2 linked regions of the Pelodiscus sinensis genome follow. The protein of the gene in region 2 interacts with the protein of the main gene of each other region in a pairwise test. Links are inferred from orthologs where the notes say so. Each region holds a gene or a part of one and is shown on either strand. Other genes may lie near its edges.

Region 1 (7,711 bases), on a different chromosome or scaffold from region 2:
ACCAACTAAGCAAAGTTTACAAGTAATTGCAATGTTTAAAGACGGGGAGGGGGAAATGAAATGCAAGTCAGAGATCGCTCTTTTAGGCCATCGAGTAAATAACACGGGAGTTAAACGTGCCAAAAAAACCCTATTTCCATTAACCGACAAAAAGGCACTGAAAACCTTTTTTTTGTTTTTTGTTTTGGTCCCGGGCGGATAACTTTTCTGAGTCTTTTCTGCTGACTGGAGGCGAGAGAAGCATGCTTCCAAAAGATACACTGCAATCCTTAAACTATGCGTTCTCATATTAAGGGGGGAATTTGCGAACCACTAGCGTCCAAAAGTTGGGTTGTTGTGTAAATCCAAGACTGGCTGGAAATTCAGTTATTAAACCTAAACTCCAGGGATCCATTTCCCAAAGCAAAGCAGATCTAGATTATGCACGTCTGGCTCGTTCGCCGGGACCTCTCTGCAAATTATCAACCCTCTCTAAAGCAAAAATTCACTGCTGAATATCGTTTGAAAGGTTCAAGGCATCTGAAGGGTTACAGGGTTTCCTTTTTTGTACACAGCCTTCTCCATATAGACAACAGTGAACCACATCCTTGTTTTACTGCAGGTAGAAAAAAAAAAAGGAAACCCGCTGTGCAAGAAGCGCCTTGCAAGGGAAGAGGCCGGCTAAAAATTGCAACCCGAACTCCAAGCACCTTCCTAGGGTGACGTGCGAATTTTGCCAGAGTAAAAAAACCTGGAAGCCTCGGCTATTGTGTGACACAAACGCGGACAATAGACGCTGATTATCCAACCATCCTCAGAACCAGTGTTGGACTCCCACCCCTATGTCCCTATTTTCTGTGCATACGGCAGTTCCCGTGTTCCTACCCGCTCACCCACCCCAGCTCGGGAGTTTCCCACCCGTGCACATGCCTGCCCTCCGGCGTACCTAGTTCACAGAGCCTGGTGAGGTGGTGGGGATTGCAGCAAACCAGCTCCGGGTGAGTTTTTCCATAAGATTCACAGCAACATAACCTCTTCACTTCCGAGCAATGCCTGAGATCGGGCCACCTGAATACTTTACACAGCAGCAAAGGGAGCGAGTACCAATGCTGGCCCAGTTTGGAGTCCACCTTGCCGGGCAGGAGGAGGCAGGAGGTCCGCGTGCCCCCTTTGGATTCCACCGCTTGCAAGAGCACCTCCAGCTGTTTCTCCTTCAGCCTCTTCAGGACCGCGTGGGTCAGCGCTTTCAATTCCGCCTCCGAGCCGAGGTGAGCTTTGCTGATCTTCCCCGACTTGCCCATACAACAGCCCCGGCCGCCTCCAGCCCCATGCGCCCGGCTGTCCGCTCCTGGTTCCCCGGGCTCTCCTTCCTCCTCCTCCCCGCCGGGCGCACGGCTCCTCCAGAGTCGCCGGACGAGCACCGATCGTTTGGTCCTGAACATGCGGGACGAGAAGAAGGTTTCCCGGCTAAAAAACGAGCATGTCGTCCGCAAATCATGAAGAATCCGGGATCCGAGTCCAGGCAGCCAACACAAGCAGCCTGAAATGATAGGGATATAGTGGGGAGGAGGGTTGGTGGCGGTGGAGGTTGTGGAAGAGCCAAAGCAATCTGTAACATACGCCAGTCTCTTACAGGGCTGGAGTTGTTCCTGTCTCTCTTAAATCCTTCAAAAAGCCGCTGGAAATCCTACAGTTTCATACAGATCTATTCAGAATTTCTCACCAACTACTTCTAAATAGGAACTGGGAGAACAGAAACTAAAAGAGATGGGGTGGAGGGGAGAAATCAAATGTTCACTGTATCAGAAGAATTGCAGAAAACATGCTCCCCCGTCAAAGAGATAGGGGAAGAACAGATCTTCTTGTGTTGCAGGTCTGTCAAAGTGATTGCAAAATCTCTAGATCACATTTGGTTTCAGATGAGGATGACTGTTTTAGATAAAAAAAAATCAAGATGTTCCCCATCCCCCAAAAACTGTGTTGCAAAACGAAGGCACACGATTTAAAAAAAAAAACCCCTATTTCCTTAGTAATAACATATCCATAGATTCCATAAAAATAAGAGTTTTTTGGAAGGGGACTGGGAAAAAAGGATTTTCTACAAGAGGGGGTGGATTTTTAAAAAGAAAGAGCCAAAAGAACTCATAATTTAAAAAAAAAACTAAAATGTGGACGTCTGAATAATCACAAAAACTTACATTTTTTTTAAAAAAAATGCACCCAAGAATGTTACATCCTTTTTAAAAAAGCGCCCAAGTCTTCCTGATGCTTTTTCCCCTTCTTCTTAGCAAAGATTTTAATCCACACACCAAAAAAATCGTCGAGGCGGCTGCTAAGATATATATATATATATATATATATATATATATATATATATATATATATATATATATTTAAAAGTGGGAGTCTCTCTTCCCTTCCAAAAGGCTGGTTCCGCTCCCCTCTCCCTGGCTGCCTTTCAGAAAGACCAGGAGGTAGGGACAGTTTTTCTTAAAATACAGTTGCCCCCACCTCTCCTCCCACCCAACCCTTACAAAATAAAAGGACGGATGGGTGAGAAGTGGCAGGGATGATCCTATAATGAATGACAGGCGCTGAAATTATCACCTGCCCCCCCCCCCCCCCTTCAGTCTCTCTTCTGTCTCGCTCTTTCTCTCGCTAGTACATGCTAATGCAGCCGTTCGCTCTTCTTCCTTCCCTTCTGGCTGCAGCTCTCCTCCTCCAAGGCAGCCTTTCCAGTCCTTGCATCGGCTATCAACACACACGGGGGAAAAAAGCAGCTCCTTTTGCTTGGCTCGCTTGGGTTGCTTTGCCTTTTTTTTTCCTCCTTCCCCTCCTTTTTCCACTCCCTTCTTCCTTCACAGAGCGCTCATTGCAGAAGATTCTGTCTCTCCCCACACGCACACACCTTTTTCTTCTTCCTTCCCTTGGGCGACAGGGGGAGTTCCTTGTCTTTTGGAGGGGGTGGCCTGCGAAGAGGAGGGGGGCTCCCAAGTGAGGTGGCTATTACCTAGCAGTGTCCATAGCCTTGCAGCCGTCCGCCAGCTCGGCTCTCTAGCCAGCCAACAGCCTCCTCCTCCTCCTCTCCTTCCCCCCTCCTCGCCGCTTTGCCTCGGTGACTCGCAGTGCGCAGTATCGCTGCCCAGCCCCGGCCCCCAATCACGTGGGCGTCTAGACACCCTGTCGCTTTAAAAAAAAAAGTGATTGTGTTGCGCAAACAACAGATCGGGTTTCTAAAAGCTATTTTTTTATTTCTGAAGTCTGGAGAGCGAGGAGGGGAGCGGGTAGGGGAAGTGCATAGAATTCACATCACATTCAAGAAATACATTAATTTTCTTTAAAAAAAAACCAAACCACGATCAAGATACAGTGCACCAAGGAAATAATTGCTCATGGAGATGAACTCAAGAGGATATTTATCAGTGAGATGCTGCGGTGAGGGGTAGCTTGCTCGATATTTGTATCGACAGGGTTTGCTTTCACATTCAAAAAAAGAGTTTGCAGACTCAGTTTGGGCTTTTTTGTTTTGTTTTTCTGCATGCTGGATTATTACTGTAATTTGTGGCTCTCTTTGCATTGAAGTTACTGGCAGATTTGTTTTTAGTTGGGGTCAGGTGGAGCTGTGCATTGGGCCCTTATTAAAGAGACATATATACGAGGTGCTTGCACAAAGGATGCAAAAAGATGGTTTTTCAGATGGGTGAGAAAAGAGGGTGTAGAAAACACCCAGAAAAAGTAAAACAAAGATCCTGAAATAGGATTGTTTGATGCAGTTCCCTGTGTCTGTCCAAAGGCCCTGTATCTGACCACAGGAGGGGAGGCCTACAACTGTGGTTGTGTAAAATAAATAAATGCCATAATAAATTGCAATTTTTAAAAAATCTATAAACTAAATCAACAGTTAATTTGTAAAGCCAAAGAAAGACATTAGGTAAAATGTAATGAAAACACTTTGCACTTGTACAGCACTTGTCATCAGAGGATCTCAATGGTGGGTAAGTGTAATTAACCCTTTCTTACAAGTGAGGAAAATGAGCCATGGATATTAATAAAACATCATCACAACACTTTGCACTATATAGTGCAATGCTTCAAAGAACCTGACATTTTTAATAAATGAAGCCTTTCATATCCCCCATCAAGTCAGGCTTACTATGCCAGTTTTGCAGAGGGGTAAACTGAGACACAGTGGTTATATGTGATGACACAGCACTAGAGCTGGAGACCAACCCAGATCTAGTGCTGGGCTTTAATCCTGAAAATCACAATCTTGCAAACACTGACATAGGATTTAATAGGATTATTCATGTGTGCAAGTGTTGCCAGAGACCAGGCCCAGACCAACAAGTGAGTTGCTTAAGGTCATATTGTAAAGTCAGTTGCAGAGTTGGAAACAGACCCATGTTTCTAAAATCACATGCTCTGAACACTAGCTACTATAAACAAACCTGATTCCAAAGTAATTTCAGTGAAATAAACAAGACAAAACCCATAAAACACAGACAGCCCAAGAGTTATTATTCTAAAACGTCCTAGAACATACATACTGTAGATGCACTGCATTCCTGGAATTGACTTCTCCAGGTGCATTGGATGCACAAAGAATGCAGACTCAAATGTAGTAGGCCTTATCCTGCAAATACACACCTCAGGACTCAATACTCCAATGAAACTATTCACATGCACAAAAGCTGTTTGTGTTACTGGCAGGATCAAGGTAGTTGGAAGCCAAGCCTGTAGAACTGTCTTGAAAAATTCTAGTGAAAACATACCATCCTGGGAATAAAACCTATTCACCTGTCCTTTGTCCCTATGATTGGTTTGTCCTTTTTTTTTTTTTTTTTTTTTTGCTCAGGGCATTTAGGTGAAGAATTTATCAAGGCTGATTTATGGCTTTATAGGGAAGGTAATCAGAGGATAAACACCAGAAATTTCACCCTGAACAGTTGGACTTTTTGTTCTGCTTCTGTACCAAGCCCAGTAGGTTCCATGCTTAGGGTTCCTAGGTGCTACAGAAATATACATACATACATAAAATTATATTTCAGAGTAAATATAAGCTTTTCTTAACACATGGGCCACCACACTCCGCAATTTCTGAACAGTGCAGCCCCATGGAGAGTGCATTGCAGTAATCTAACCTTGAAGTAACAAAGGATTAATGGCCATATAGTGCAGCCAGGGCATCAGCTTTTAAGTTTGCTGCACTTTCCAGTACAGTGCAATTTTTTTAATGGTCACTTCGGAGACTTGAAAAATTGAAAATAAATTACATTTCTTTCTTTTAATATCTCTTTCATGAGCCTCAGAGGTGACCTTATTTTTTTAAACTGTCTCCTCTTTTTATTATAGCAGTGTAGAGAATCTCAAAACCTTTTATCACTGTGGTATATATGATAAACTGAGAGATACTTTCCCTGCTTCTGCTGATACTGAAAGACCAGATTAGATAGACACACCTATTACCATGTGCATTACATTCTTGTTTTATGTCAAAAGCTGTCCAAACTACTATAAATGAGGTGGATTCAAACCATTCGTTCACGGTGAATAAGGGGTATAATTTTTCCTTTATAATCATCACTTTTTCTATTGTGATTTATGTTTGCATTATTAGTTATTTTGATAATAGTAATGCAGAGATTCCTATATTTACAAACCAGAGTGACAAGAATGGTAATTAGCAATGTGCTGTGCCAGGACAAAATGTGGTCCAATGGACAGAGCACAAAACTGGAACTCAGGTGACTTGGGTACTTCTTCCAGCTCTGCTACTGATTTTGCCACTAGCTTCAATAGAAACCTCATCTTTTCTGCACCTCAGTTTTTCTATCTGTGAAATGGGGAAACAAATATTTATCCTCCTTTGTAAAGTACCTTGAGCCCTGCAGGTGAAATTTATTGTATTATTTGGAATAAATTAATTATTTAATTGTCCTTGTATGGCTTTATTAAATGTCACAAAGAAAAAGATTAAATCAATAATCAATTAAAAAGTGCAAATATTTTGTGTTTTTAACTGTTTTTTTCACTATTTATCATACAATCAGGGGCAGGTTCTTCCATATTATACCTCTTTCAATCATTAATTCCATGTCTTATTTTTCTAAAAAGCTAGATTTAGATGTACTTAGGGAAATGGACATGTGTCTAAAATGGAAAGAATAAAGAAGTATGTGTTCTCTTTTTTTAATAGTTACTGTATAAAATCTGACTTGTTAGGCCAAACCAGTACATTTAAATCATATAAATAAGCCCATTAAAGCATCCCCTGATGTTACTGTATTTATTCGTTGGCAAGTAGATGTGAACCAAATACGTCCTCTTCTCCAAGAGCGACAGTTAGGAAGCAAAAAAATGCATGTTGAAATATCCCGGGGATATGACAATGTCATTCAGATAATGGAGAGGGTGTCATCAACCAGTGTATCTGTTCAATTTACTCTTGGGTGTGAAACTCATCTCTAATACAACTCCAGGGAATGGGATAAACTTATCCCTTTGACTTTAAAGGGCCTAATTATCTGATTTAAATAAACTGGGTTTGGACTAACAAACAGACAAAAATTTCTCAACTATGTGATCTGTAGGTTAATTTAAAGCTGTTTTTCCAACTTGATTTATTTTTAACAAGAGAAAAGTAATTTGTACATATGAATTAAATCCATCATCAAAAATATGGACAAATACATTTGATTATGGAAGTGAAATCAAATACAAAATAAAAACTATACCTTTTCTTTCCAGACACTATTCATATGGAGGTTTCTGGAGACTTTCCTGTTACGCAATTGTCTTTGAAAAGTTAAGAGTGATAAACTGGAGTTAATTTGCATTGCAATTCAGCATTTGACAGACAGTTGGAGCCAGGGCACTGTTAACCTAATTGCTTTTTTAACAGCACCAGGGTGAGAGAGAGAGAGAGAGAGAGAGAGAGAGACACACACACACACACACACACACACACACACACACACACACACACACACACACACACACACACACACACACACACACACACACACACACACACACACACACACACACACACACACACACACACGATAAAATGAGGCCTGACATCGTTACCAGACACATATAAACAAAGATGATCCATTTTCGTGGTCTTTCTGGGCTAGGATTGGATCAATAACAAATATTAATTATTTTTCTCTTTTGGGAATAGCTCTTGGTGATAATATTTACAAATACTGTAACAATAAGTAGGAAGGAACAAGCCTGTCTGGAGAGAAGGCAAGAAAGAAAATGGAGATTTCATGTACTTGAGTGGCACTCCATGCAGATTAAAAGATTTAAAATAGTTAAATTTGCTTCAGTTATAAATGTTTAATTTCAGAGGCTTGCAAACAAGGTTCAGAGTGAGCTAGAATGTCATTTTTGGCACTTTTCTGCTTCTTTCTCAGTCTCTGCAGCTTTCATTTAAATAGCAAATAGACCTTATGACTGCAAAAAAAAAAAAAAAAAACCTCAGTGTGACCTGATGCAAAGTTGTCTTCCTGAGTCTACAAGAGAGACAAACAATACATATTAGAGAAGTGTGAACCTGACCTTATTTACCCTCATAGGGCATTAAATTTGTTAGGATAATATAATTTGATTGTTGATGCTAGAAACTACCTGGGGGCTTTTTATTTTGAGCTAACATACTTATCCAGTGTGATTGAATGCCACAGAAATTAAAGATAAAAAAGGCCTATTAGGACACTGTCCA
Region 2 (7,286 bases):
ATCCGTGGTCCCACATAATTTTAGTTATCTAGATGTCCACGTATGGGTGTGGCCAAGTTTCCCGTCATCCCATAAAGTTTCTTTAAAGCCACTAGTCCTGTCTCAGTGTTCTGTGCTGTTATTTAGCTCTAATTTACCCCATAAGACTTCTAAGAGCCCAGTAAGCAGTGAAAGTGTTGGAAATGCTGCTACACAATACTGACCACCCCCACCATGGTCTTGCAAATTATCTGGTTTGGCACTGGCCAAGTCCCAAGGGTTTAACCTGTATGGCTGTGTCTAGACTGGCATGATTTTCCGGAAATGCTTTTAACAGAAAAGTTTTCCGTTAAAAGTATTTTCGGAACACAGCATCTAGATTGGCATGGACGCTTTTCTGCAAAAGCACTTTTTGCAGAAAAGCGTCCGTGCCAATCTAGACGCGCTTTTCCACAAAAAAGCCCCAATCGACATTTTCGCGATCGGGGCTCTTTTGCACAAAACAAATCTGAGCTGTCTACACTGGCCCTTTTGCGCAAAAGTTTTGCGCAAAAGGACTTTTGCCCGAACGGGAGCAGCATAGTATTTCTGCAAGAACACTGACAATCTTACATGAGATCATCAGTGCTTTTGCAGAAATTCAAGCATCCAGTGTAGACAGCTGGCAAGTTTTTCCAGAAAAGCGGCTGATTTTCCGGAAAAACTGGCCTGTCTAGACATAGCCTATGTGTTTAGAATTGGGATTACCAGTTAACCAGTGTTGACAAAGCCATGCTTTCCAGGGTGCCTACCATGGGGGAGGGATGCACCAGTCCAGCCAGACCCTAAGCGAGGAGCTGGTTATCATATGTTTAACTGCTTAACATTTTAAACAGGATTTTACATCTCTAGTCTAGAACCTCAGGCTTCTAACTCAGAGTGGTAGGAATATGCAGTTCTCGTTAGCTCATGAGATTATTGTAAAGTGAATATAGATGTAAGCCTTGTGCAGCCAAAAGACAGCAAATTGTGTGTTGAAGCATGGAAGATAATGAATTCTCGCTACAGCCAGACAACAGATATCTTTAAGATACTTCCTTTCGGAGGAATGGTGGGCTTCTGCCCACAATAATAAAGAAGGCTTAACACAAGAAGGGGAATCAGCCACCATTATGTCTAGATGTACAGTTTTCTACATTTTATGTCTGCCCTATATAAGCCAGTTCTATGATTCACAGCATTCACTGGGTCTGCCCTGTTATTCCATTACTTAATGCCTAATCCTGCCAGAAGCTGAGCACCTTCAGCCATGACTGAAGTCACTTGAAGTCTTTAGACAGGCAAGAATGGGACTTTATCCTGGAAGTCTTGTTATTGTACTGTGAGGTTACAGTTCTGCTTCACAGACAGTACACCTGTGATTCCACTCACTGGCAGGCAGGAACTGAAGAGCCCTACTCATGCAGAGAGCAGTATCACATAGCAGAACTGGACTCAATCTTGGAATCTGTGCAAGTCTTCCTCTCTCCAACGGTGCTCGTCATGCACAAAATATTTTGTAAGTATAATGCAGTTTAATATTTTTTTTAAATTGTCATGTCACTAAGCAACCTCCAAATACATCAGATATCACAGAATCCTCTAATGTATGCAGATTTATAGACTATCAACATTTTCTCTAGAACTCTTAAAGCTTCAGATCTCATTCATTAGGTACCTCCATATTCACTTCTCTGGAAGCTTCTCAATACCTTCAATTCAGATAATAAAACAATCCATTTATGCTTTCATAGGGGTGGGGGGTAAACTTTGCAAACAATATGACCCACAGGAGACATTTGGACAGTTCACTCACCCCTCACTCCAAAACCATTTCCTAAAATGTCAGTGGAGGAAACCTGGATGTCATCACTTCACACTCACACCCCCAATTGCACTTACAAACTCTTCACTCTGAAGCCCAGAGAGCTGAGATTGGAACAGGAAAGGGGGCGTCATGAGGGAGTCACAGAGGAAAGGAAAAATGAGAGAGTAGATGGGAGAACTGCAGGAGGGACCTGAGGCAATGACTACTTGGGAAGAGGCAATAGTAGCAGGAGATGAAGGGGGGGGAGGAGAAGAGTGTCGGGAGGAAAGCCAAGGTGTGTGGGGAGCAGTATGCCTGTTTTAATCATTTTATCACAGCCTGCTAAAATGGGGGAGATCTTAGGGTTCAGTGTTGGGATGAGAAGATGCCAAGACAGCGGTGGGTGGGGAATCTGAAGCATCAGCTGCACAGAATGAAAACAGGGGAAGCTCTAAGTGGTGGGCAATTTCAGGGGTCAGTGGGGGAGCCGGAAAGGCCCCAAGGGAAGCACAGGAATCAGCCTGGGGATGCAAAGAGGCTGAGTGAAGGCCCGTGGAGTTGGCACAGACAGGAAAATGCTGAGGCTGCTGGTGGAGGTCTCGGAGAGGGGGGATGACAGGCTGGCACTGACACTGGGAGGTGGGTACAGGGAGGGGTGGGGTCTCCGGGGTCAGCTACAGAAGGGCAGGGAGCCCCCGGGGATGGTTATGGCGGGGCGGGGAGGCAGGACGGAGCCGACGCGAGGGGATGGGGGTCCCGTAGGGACACGGGGGGGGGAATGGGACGACGCTGGCGGCGGGGGGGGGGGGGTCTCTGGTAACGGGACGGCGCCGCCGGGGGAGCGGGCGAGGGCTCCGGCCGACAGGGGCGGGGCTGGGGAGGCTCGGCCCGGGCCCGGGGAGGCTCGGCCCGGGCCCGCAGGGAGCTGGCGGGCGAGGCCCGGGCGGGGGGGGCGGCGAGCAGGCCGGCCCGGGTGCCCGCGGGGGAGGTGGGAGCCAGCGGCGCCTGCCGCAGGGAAGGTCCCAGGGGCCCGCCCGGCCCCGGGTGCTGGGAGCCGCGCTCCCCGGCCGTGCCACGGCCGCCCCCGGGGCCCCGCCCCGCGCGCCCCCCGCTGAGGGGAGGCCGCTCACTCACTTTCGCCTCCACCAGTTCCGCCGCCATCTTGGCTTCCAGCGTCCACCGGCGCGCCGGGAGCCGCCGCCGAGTCACGTGACACGCACCCTTTCCTTCCTCGCCCTCCCTCCTCCCCCCCCCCCCGAGGGGGCGGGCTTAGGGAAGAGCGGGGAACCAATCCCATCGCGCTCCAGCCCCCCGCCCCTCGCCGGCCGCCCGCCCGCGCACGCGCGCTGCCGCCCACTCCCGCCCCGCCCATGACCCCGTTCTAGCCGCCTCCGGGCTCTTAAAGTGACAGAGCCGGGGGGCTGGGGAGGGGGGACAGCGCCAGGCCCGGGGCAGAACGGGGCGCTGCAAACCCCGCTCCTCCCGGGGAGCTGGGCCCCGGCCAGCAACAGGGCCCTCGTCTGCGGGCGGGGCAGCCAGAGAACGGGCTTTAATTAATTAATTAATTAATTAATAATTAATTAGCCCACTGGCGGGCTAACAAAGGCCATTAATGGGAAGGCGAGGCAGAGAGCAATTAGCCCCCTGCATTGCTTATGAAGGGGCTCACCGCAGCCAACCCGCCACGGGCTTCGTGGGGTGGGAGACAAGGCCATGCTGGCTCCTGCACCCCCGTGCCGTTGAATTCATGGGGTGCCTAGTTCTGCATTGCCTGCAGGGGAGCGTATGGGGGGGGCTGTTGCTCTGGCAAGTTAGCCCCTGGATTCCGGGGATAATCCTGCCCTCCCCCCAGCAAGGCATGTACACGCTAGTTGGGGTACAAGTTGCAGAGCTGGGGTGCTGTGTGCCATTGAATCAAACTGTAAATAAACTCAGTTTGGTGGAAATTGCTCCGAGCCAGGGGATGCCGCTGTGCCCTCAGTTTCAGAATCTTTCCCATGATCTAGTTGTGTCTGCACTGGACGTGAGGTCGACGTAGCTACAGCGTGCAGGAGTGTGGATTTGTCACACTCCGCACTTCTATAGCTGCATCCACCTATGTGGTGTGCAGATCAGGCCAAAGCCTACCGCAAACCTGGATTATATATGGCCAGAATAAGAATCTCCTTTGAATGTGTTGGGGTCAAATGCATATGAAATGTTCTTTCGGAAAACAAACCGCCATCCCCCCTATACACACATACATATCCACCACAGCAAATTAAAATAGAAAAGCCTCTGTGAAACCAGAAACAAACCTTTTATAAAACAAATACATCTTTCGGATTTCTCTTACCCATCACAGAGCAGCATAAAAGGACATGAGCTGGAATTGGTTTCCTTTGTTCACCCTTTCAGAATCTCTGCTGGGCATATACAGTGAGCACTTTTCAAACTTGTATATTTGTTCCAGCTGTTTTTCATTCAAACTTTGTTGGGCCAGCCATAGGAGTTCAAAATATCACAAGAATGGCTTAAAAGTCATGGGATTTTAAAAAATAATATATTTGGAGTTCTTTTAATTTCCCTTTTGGCTTTTAACCTTTCTACTCAAGCTTTTTTTCCACAGCCACAGGGGATTAGTAACTTTTTTTTTAAAGAGCTGGTCTAAAATACAAAGCTGGGTTGGTCCAACTATATTGTTCAGGGCTGCGAAAAATTTACTCTCCTGTGCCATGTAATTAAAGCTGACCTAAGACCTGGAGTAGTAGATACAGAGGTTGGCAGAAGAATTCTTCTATCAGACAAGCTACCACTTTGTGGAGAGGTGGATTCGCTTGGCAATAACTGTGCAGCACAGCTGCAGCATGGAAGCTCCACTACTGGAGTGTTTCTACTGTAGACGTACCCTTAGATATTAATGGAATCGCTTGCTTCCAGAAGTCGGGGCTTTTAAGAAAGTCACCGCCTATCATGAGACCTTGTAATAAAATTGCAAGTGTTGGCAACCACACAAAGAAGACAAAAAGACACTGTTGATCCCTGGCCAAGATTTACGTGCCCAAACTTAGACTGCTAGGTTCATATTTAGGCATCTCTCGGAATGACCTTGTTTACAAAAGTGCTGAACACGGAGCAGCTCCCACTGATGTCTTTTGGAAGTCAGGCCCTTATTCTGCAAAGTCTTAATGAGAATGGTTAACATTATGCACTATGACAAGTCCTGCACATAAACAAGTTAACCATGCACATAAGCATGCCCATAAATCTTTAAAGGATTGGGGATTTATAGGCCTAAATGTAAAGGTCTGGAAAACATGGCCGTTGAGGGAAGGTTGAAATAATCGGGTTTGTTTAATCTGGAAAAGAAAAGACTGAGAACGGACATACTAAGAGTTTTCAAGTTTCTAAAAGGTTGTTACAAGGAGGAGGGTGAAAAATTACTCTCCTTAATCTCTGAGGACAGGACAAGAAGCAATGGGCTTAAATTGCAGCAAGGGAGGTTCAGGTTAGACATCAGGACAATCTTTCTGTCCGGGTGGTTAAACACTGGAATAAATTGCCCAGGGAAGTTGTGAAATCTCCATCATTGGAGATATTTAAGAGCAGGTTAGACAATTACCTGTCCATGGTGCTTGATCCTGCCATGAGTGCAGGGGACTGGACTGGACAACCTCAAAAGGTCCCTTCCACTTCTACGATTCTATGTCTCCCTTTTTAAAAATCTTAGACCTTAGGGACAATGGGAGACATTTTCACAGCCACAAATGGCACAAAGGCCATGAAAGATGGGGGCCAAACTCCTAAGGCAGAATGTTCCATGACGCCCATGCCTGTTTGCAGACATCACAGATGCACGTAGGAGCCTAGATGTCATTGAAAGGCAAGAATAACCCTCTTATCCAGTCTCTCCTCTGAAGTGCTTTGCAAAAGAGGTCAATATCAGTGGCCCCATTTCACAGGTAGAGAAACCGATGTATGGAGAAGGGATGCGATTTGACAAAAAGCACCCAATAAGCTAGCAGTAGAATTAAATATAGAACCCAGGTCTCCTAAGTCTGACTTTAACCCACCAGCAATGAGGCAACGCTGTTTAGGCTTTTTAAGGCTATGTTACATGCAGAGAGGTGTCAAGTGGGTCTTTTATGTACCTAGGTGCCTAACTCCTGCTTGTGCAGAGCCCCAAGATGTCAATAAATAAATAATCCCCAGCTTGTATGTGGCACTTTTCATCAGTAGATTTCAGGTGTCTCTCGGATTCTTCCCCATCACACCCCCGTGTTTTACAAAGGAGGGTAGTATCCTTAGTCCCATTTTACAGATGAGGACACACAGAGAACATGCAGCAGGCTGTACAGGAGTCCAAGGCTCTATCCAGGTGGGCCAACTTTCAGGATCGGGGCCTAAATTCTTGATTCTGCATTACAGCTACATCTGGATTTTGGTTATTACCTCTTCTGTTTTCCCTTGATCACAACTTTCCAAAAAAGTTGTCATCTCTGGAGTTGAAACTTTCTTCGCTTAAAGTCAGACTAGAGTGGATTTTTGTTAAAAGAAAAATGGGGAAAAAAATCTTTTCAGATGGTTGGAGTTCTGAGACAATATGTTTTCATCTTAAAATATGAAAAGCAAAACTATTATGAAATTGAGCCAGTTTATGTGGGGAGTCAGGTTAAAAGTATACTGGCTCCCGCCCAGCTGTTTTCCTCCCACTTCCACTTCCTCTGTGTCAGTATTGCGGAGGGACAGGTGGGAGCAGCCATGTGCAGGGAGCCAGCTTTCAAGTCATCTCCCCACACATACTGGCTCCTGCAGAGACACCTCTGCCTCCCCTTTGCTGCTTCTAGCAGCAGCGTGGGGCAGGCTCCCTGGGAGCCACACCTTCCCCCCTTCCTGCTCTCTGCAAGCAAATGTGTGCCTGCTGACATTTTCAGCAGGTACACCTTTACCAAACTAAACACATTTTAATATCCCTAATGTGAGCAGGAGCTGCAGAAAGCCTTTGTCCTTTGTCGACAGGGTTGAAAGACATGGGCAAAGGGAAGCCCCTTTTCAAACTTTCGGTGTAGGGTAACCTACCCCCTAAGCTGTCTGAGCATTGCCCCGGCTCTGTAAAGCCGGAGGCATGTGGGATGAAAGCGGACTCGCTCAAAACACACCCACACCTCAACTATTGCCTTATACATGGGTGGTTGGTGCAGCTGGGACCGGGGGAGGCAGGCCTCCTACCCCCTCTGCTGAGACCCCGCCCTCCCAGGGAGGAGGTGGGGCAGCACGCCGAGCACTCCCCACAGCACTAGGGAAAGGAAGAGAGGGAAGGGATGCAGGTGGTTCCAGCCTCCCCGGCCAGGAGCACAGGGAGGACAGGCACTGGGGGCAGCAACTCTCCACCCCTAGAATGCCTACCCAGGCACGCTGGGGGCGGAGTGTGGGCATGACCAGGCTGGCCGTTTGGGAAGGCAAAGTCTTCCCTTGCCTAAGCCACCGGGCGCCCATGGCCTTA

What was found.
Region 1: the proteins of PIAS4 (region 2) and SMAD7 interact in a two-hybrid assay, tested with the Homo sapiens proteins (2 studies listed by BioGRID and IntAct). The link is inferred for Pelodiscus sinensis from reciprocal best matches to the Homo sapiens genes PIAS4 and SMAD7.

Annotation. Positions count from the first base shown.
Region 1 is NC_134716.1:116,248,604-116,256,314, reverse strand, and holds the start of SMAD7 (mothers against decapentaplegic homolog 7), read right to left. Parts: upstream 3,102-7,711; 5' UTR 1,422-3,101; coding exon 926-1,421; intron 1-925. UniProt on the Homo sapiens protein: Antagonist of signaling by TGF-beta (transforming growth factor) type 1 receptor superfamily members; has been shown to inhibit TGF-beta (Transforming growth factor) and activin signaling by associating with their receptors thus preventing SMAD2 access.
Region 2 is NC_134729.1:22,026,092-22,033,377, reverse strand, and holds the start of PIAS4 (E3 SUMO-protein ligase PIAS4), read right to left. Parts: upstream 3,072-7,286; 5' UTR 2,966-3,071; coding exon 2,939-2,965; intron 1-2,938.